2 linked regions of the Caenorhabditis elegans genome follow. The protein of the gene in region 1 interacts with the protein of each later gene in a pairwise test. Each region holds a gene or a part of one and is shown on either strand. Other genes may lie near its edges.

Region 1 (2,729 bases):
CAGGTTTTGCATTTTCCAAGTTCAGTTAATTTGAGATTAACCCAGTATTCATTTTCTAAAAGTCATTCTTTCAGAGAGAGAAATTCAAAGCATCTTCGGAATTCTATCTTTCAAATTGTAGATGGGATTCTTCGAATATTTCCAAAAACTTGTATTTCCGTAGTTTATGAAGTTGCACAGAGAAAGGGAAGCTAATGGCCGAGGCTTATAAAAACTTTCGGTTTTCAATCTTGTTGGAAAAATCTCGGGTCATCTCACAAAATTGGTTGAAAAATGTTATGAAAAACTATTACTACATCAAATTACAAGAAGTTTGAAAAAACGCTATGAAATAATTACTTGATTTCCGATATCAGGCGAGATATATGATTCAGGCACTGGTTTTCAGGCTTCAAGCTTTCTTCCGCTTCATGTTCTTGGATATCTAAATCATTTCGATCACCAACTTGAATTATAAAGTGAATTCATATGGTTCGGGAAACAAAACTGTGCAGACTTTCATATACCCTTTTGTAAATAAAATTGAGAACGAACGAAGAAAATCGAATACCGAATGTCTACTTGCATGCAATTCTAATTTTAAATTTAAAAAAAGTATGTAGTTGTGCAAAGCAATAAAGAAAATATCATGTCAACTTGTATTTGAAAATGCTAAAATAGAAAAATCAAAATTATTTAAGATTTATTTAACGAGATCAATTAGGATTTTGGATATTTGTGGCCCTAAAGAGGGCCGTTGGGTTCGGTATTTGGTTTGTATGAAAACAGAAAAGATAATAATTATCCTCCGAATCCGTACAGAGTTCTTCCTTGGCGCTTCAGAGCGTAGACGACGTCCATGGCGGTGACGGTCTTTCTCTTGGCGTGCTCGCAGTAGGTGACAGCATCACGGATGACGTTCTCAAGGAACACCTTCAAGACTCCACGGGTTTCCTCGTAGATCAATCCGGAGATTCTCTTGACTCCTCCTCTTCTGGCGAGACGGCGAATGGCTGGCTTGGTGATACCTTGGATGTTATCACGGAGAACTTTGCGATGGCGCTTGGCACCACCTTTTCCAAGGCCTTTTCCTCCCTTTCCACGTCCGGACATTGTTGAATTCGTTGAAGACTCACAAGTGAGATGAAGAAATGACATCACAGTATTCCTTTTGTACACAGCTGTGGTGGCTAGGCGGAGTCACATTGCACCACTCTGCGAGGACACCTTTCCTTTGTCTGTAACACACCGAATGTTCTAATTGCCACAAGGACAGAAGTGCGCCCGCCCGCCCTCCCACCGCAGCTGCGTACAAAGGCAGTCGTTGGTTTCTCTTTTTTACAGTCCCCACGGATTATCAACCTAAACGCAATGGCTCGTACCAAGCAAACCGCCCGTAAATCGACCGGAGGAAAGGCTCCAAGAAAGCAATTGGCCACCAAAGCTGCCCGCAAATCGGCTCCAGCTTCCGGAGGAGTCAAGAAACCACATCGTTATCGCCCAGGAACCGTCGCTCTTCGTGAGATCAGACGTTACCAGAAATCAACCGAACTTCTAATCCGCAGAGCACCATTCCAGCGCCTTGTTCGTGAGATTGCTCAGGATTTCAAGACCGATCTTCGATTCCAATCTTCCGCTGTCATGGCTCTTCAGGAGGCTGCCGAGGCTTACCTTGTCGGACTCTTCGAGGACACCAACTTGTGTGCCATCCACGCTAAGCGAGTCACCATCATGCCAAAGGATATCCAATTGGCCAGACGCATCCGAGGAGAGCGCGCTTAAATACCTTTTTTGGTAGTTGAGCAAGCTTAATCTCAAAACTTAACCGAACCCAACGGCCCTCTTTAGGGCCACAAATATCCTCAAATCCATTTTAATATTCAATGAATACTTTTTTCAATTTCAATTTTTTTAAATTTTAAATCTTTCGGACATAGTGGTTCCGTGTATATTATAATATGATTGATTCAAAGATTTGTTGTTAGATGTAAAAATTTATTAGTCAGTTTCTTTATCAAACGTGAAAAATCATTTCCTACATTTTCCACAAAGATGTTTAAAATACTCTGGAATCAAAAGTCAAAACCTATAGTTTTTCGAATTTTAATTTATGGAATCTTCTTTCAAATCATTATATTGATGTTTTTACTGCGATCGAGAAGCTCTGGAAATCAAGAAGAAGCTCAGTTGATATTAAATGTATCGATTTCCCCAAGAGCAATGGAAAACGATAAAACACGGAGGTTTGATTTTGAGAATTCTGAAATCGTAGATTATTTCAAGTTTCAGAATTTATGATACGACACTTGATGCCAATTCTTTGAGAAGCGAGGAAGACGTAGTGGATGTATGATTTTAAATATTACATACAATCTGATTGAAATTAAGAAATAAAAGCTCGGTTTTTCATAATATTGTGGATGTTTCATTATCTCGAAATATCGAAGACTAAAATAAATAAGGAAAGGAAAACATTTTCGAAATATTGTAAAGGGAGAAATATTGAATTCGCGAAATATAAAATTGTGAGGATCAAAATTGAAATAAATTTAGTCAGATTCTTCGTCACTGGTGACAATCTGTTTCTTTTGTTGTTGTTTTCTCTTTCGGTACTCTTCATCAGAATCGCTATCCGATCCGCTTTTCTTTGTGGTATCCGCATGATCGTCCTCACTTTCTGAGCTGGCACCTGAAATATATTATTGTAGTACAGTTTCTTTATTCTGGTAAAGTCCTAATCAAAATTAAAT
Region 2 (3,692 bases), on another chromosome or scaffold:
ATTTCTATGTTTATATTTCGTATTACTTTGAAATTATTTCTCCTTTCCAATCTATTGCATTTCTTTTCTTGGCTTTCCCTCTTACAATCTCATTTTGCTTTTTGCGGGCACCTATAAACGTGTTTTTAGTCAAAACTCGTTTCTTCTAGTTTTAGTTTGATGCAAATGTAAGGCTTGAGTTTCAAAGTTTTCAAGTTTTCAATAATTCATCTTTATTTTTTATAATCAGGAAGCTGATATCTTACGAGGGCGTAGAAAAAAACGTCGCTTGAAAACAAGGTGCAAGTAATAATTTAAATTTTAAAAAAATCTGAAAAGTCCTACATTCAAATTGATTGCAAAACTACAACTTTCCAAAAAAATTAAGAATTTTCGCCTAAGATTTACTCATTTTCTAGAACTAAATTCCTTTTTAACAAGAGGTTTCAATTTCAGGGCAATTTATCACTGGGCCAAACAGATTCTGTCAGACATTGTGCAAAGATGCTGCGAAGGAGTCTATCATAAGCTTCGAGCTATTCATACTCGAACAAGTGATTAAATACAATAAATTCATTTTCATGCAATAAATTTTTACAATATAAATAAATAAACAATTTACAGTTAGTGATTAGTATTGCAAATTTTTTAATCAGAGATTTGGAAGGCAAAGACGGCGGTAAAGCTGCACGTCTGTAGTCGTCAGTGTGGCACGTTTGGAATGGGCGGAAATGAGTGATGAACCATCGAACATTTGGACCAACAGTGCTTCCGATGCTTCCTGAAGAGCATTGATGGCGTCAGAACGAATGCGAAGGTCTGAGGAAAATGGAGTGGAAGTCTGCATAATTTCGCGGACGAGGCGTGCGAACGGAGCCTGAAATTTGGAATTGTTTAAATGTGGAATGTAGTAAAAAATATATACCTTTGGAATCAGAAGGTCTTCAGATTCTTGGTATTTGCGAATCTCTTCCAATGCCTTCTGGCCCGGTCTATAACGTCTCGTTTTCGAGATTCTGTTCCTTCCGGCTATCATCCGCACGCGATCGGAGCTCGATGAACCAGCTCTACTTCCATTTCTGCCATTTGTACCATCCGTGTCATTACGATTCCCCACATTTATTGGTGACTGATGGTGACTGTTGGCTGCCGTGATTTCTTCATCGGAGCTATCGTGTCGACGGTGTGAGGGCATATCATGACGGCCGTGGGAGTAATCGACAAGATTAGTTGAATTACTGCCGACCTGAAACAAATATTATGTTGTTTGAAATTTCTCACACAAATTTGAAACTAACCGTAATATCCACAGAAGGAGCTCTTCTTCGAGCTTGCTCTAAGTCGTTGAATCCAACAGCCTCAAGGTCGTTCTTATACTGATCCAGAAGAGCGATAAGGTCAGCGTATCCTGTGGCGCTTGTGTTGAAGCCCGGCACTGAAGTGACTCTGAAACACCATACATTAATTTGTAGCACGAAAACAAAAATAATTACCTTTGTGTGTCATGTTGGAGACGTTGCATGATCCTTGCCACCCTCCCATTCTTCTCGGCAATTTCCTCAATAATTGGTCCGTCATCGGCCATTGTTCGAAGATTATCCTGTTAAAATATAAAATTTAAAAAACTGAAGCTAAATTAAGACAATTTGTTTGAAGGTTAAAAGGAATTAAAGAAGCAATAAAAACGAACGCAGTTTAAATAAGGAACGATTGGCGGCAGGAGAACCATTGAAATACGAAAATGGCAAAACATATTTCCGGTGAAAATAATCTGAGAGTCACAAAATCAGCAAAAATTAGAAAATTCTGGAAGAAAAATCAAATTTTCGCACTTTGAAAAGAAAATGCGCAAGTAACACGAGAGATGCGCCAGCCATTTCCGCTTGCGCGGAAGACGATTATCAAAGTAGGTCTAGAAATAATACTTTTAGCTAAACAGGGAACAGGGCTGTTGCAAAAAATAATTTCCGCCCAAAAAACAAAAAACAAAAAAGCGAATTTTTCAAAAAAACCAAAAAGAAATCAAATTTTGATTTCAAACGGAACAAAACGGAAATTTTTCTTGAAATATTCTGTTGATCTTTCATAAAATAATAAAAATTGAATGAACGGAAGGTTTTTTGTTCTTCTTTGTTTATTTGTTGAATCAGTGTTGTAATTTATTTTTTGGTCTTTTTGGTTCCAGAAAACCGGGGAACATTTTAAAGAGACGAACTGTTGAAACTCACGAGTCGATATATATATATATATAAGTACTTCGGTGAGAGAAAATAATTTTTGTATTTAGACCTCAAACGATATATGAAAATTCAGTTCAATTAGGTTACAAAGACACTTTTGAATTCGAAATTCTATTAATTTAAAGGTTGAAGTTGAGTGTTAAAATGAATGTAGGAGCCCAAGCTGAGTTTGGCATTTTCGCTTTATCAAAAATATAAGAAAAAGGATCATAGTAATTTACCGTATTTCCTATATCAGTCTTGCATGCAAGATTTTATTCATACTGCCCTGTTTTGGTAAATTACCAAAAAGTGCGTGGTACATTCGTTTAACACTTCACTTCAACGTTTAAATGAATAGAATTTCAAAGTCAAAAGTCTCTTGGTAACCTAGTTGAAATAAAATTTCATATTCCTAGGGTTTGGACACATTTTTAATTTTACTTACTATTGAGAAAAGATAGGAGTTTCACTTTGAAAAAAAATCACCAAATTTAGAGCCACCTCTTGTTAAAAAGTAATTTAGTTCTAGGAAATGAGTAAATCTTAGTAAATTAGTAAATGAGCCGTTCGATAGTAAACGAGCGGAAGTGAAAACATTAGTAAATGAGCGTCAAAGTAAATGAGCCACCGTTAGTAAATGAGGATTTGGCTTCTCAAATCTCTTTACCTGTATTAACCGAAAAAAGTAAGTTCATGTTCTGAATAAATTTGTCGCTTGAACAATCTTCTTTTTGACCTCGACAGACTGGAATTCTGGAAACCTGAATTATTACTAAAATTTTACGTTCCTAACCGTGTAGCTTGAAGGCTTATTAGTTCCTCCAACCAATGCTAAAAAGTCAGAAGCCGTATTGTATTCATTGCTGATTCATTTAATTTTCTATTATTAAATGACATTTTGAGTCTTCTCAATCTCCCCTGAAAAGCCAATAATAACACATTTCAAGCGTATTCTTTATTAATTGAAAACTAGATGACCATCGAACAGGTAATGTACGTGCGAAGCTAATCTTGTGGTAGATACTAAATATGATTATGGATAAACCGTTTTTAAACTATACATTTAGATTTAGCAAAAATTTGTTCAAGAAGAAGCACCTCATAGACATTTCCTAATTTGTATATTTACTATGATGCTCATTATGAGATCACTTTTTTTGGAGATTTTTTGCTTTGAGATTGCTTTGACGGAAGTTTGAACGTAGGCGTACTCTGCGTGTCTGCAGAAGATCTGAATTTCCGCTTCGATTCGCCATTTGATGGATCGTATACGGAAAATGTAATCCAAATAGGGTAATAAGACGCTAACTTGCTTTGTAATTATGTCTGGAAAAAATAACTTTGACGAAAAATAATACAACAGTCTGAAATTAAGTTTACATAGCCGCCCGGAATAGTCCTGTTAGATTAAAACATTTTGTGTTAAATTTAGTTACAGTAACCATTGTTTTTGGTTTCTATCAGTGTTTTTTTCGAATTATAATTATAATT

The links.
Region 2: the proteins of his-46 (region 1) and cpar-1 interact in a two-hybrid assay, tested with the Caenorhabditis elegans proteins (one large-scale study listed by BioGRID).

Annotation. Positions count from the first base shown.
Region 1 is NC_003282.8:11,325,238-11,327,966, forward strand, and holds his-46 (Histone H4), read right to left. Parts: upstream 1,093-2,729; coding exon 781-1,092; downstream 1-780. Other genes in the region: his-45 (Histone H3), read left to right, coding at 1,351-1,761; B0035.21 (Kinesin motor domain-containing protein), read left to right, coding at 2,119-2,222, 2,269-2,332; leo-1 (RNA polymerase-associated protein LEO1), read right to left, coding at 2,529-2,668. UniProt on the Caenorhabditis elegans protein: Core component of nucleosome. Nucleosomes wrap and compact DNA into chromatin, limiting DNA accessibility to the cellular machineries which require DNA as a template.
Region 2 is NC_003281.10:9,431,946-9,435,637, reverse strand, and holds cpar-1 (Histone H3-like centromeric protein cpar-1), read right to left. Parts: upstream 1,582-3,692; 5' UTR 1,565-1,581; coding exon 1,473-1,564; intron 1,426-1,472; coding exon 1,278-1,425; intron 1,226-1,277; coding exon 905-1,225; intron 857-904; coding exon 632-856; 3' UTR 538-631; downstream 1-537. UniProt on the Caenorhabditis elegans protein: Histone H3-like variant which exclusively replaces conventional H3 in the nucleosome core of centromeric chromatin at the inner plate of the kinetochore.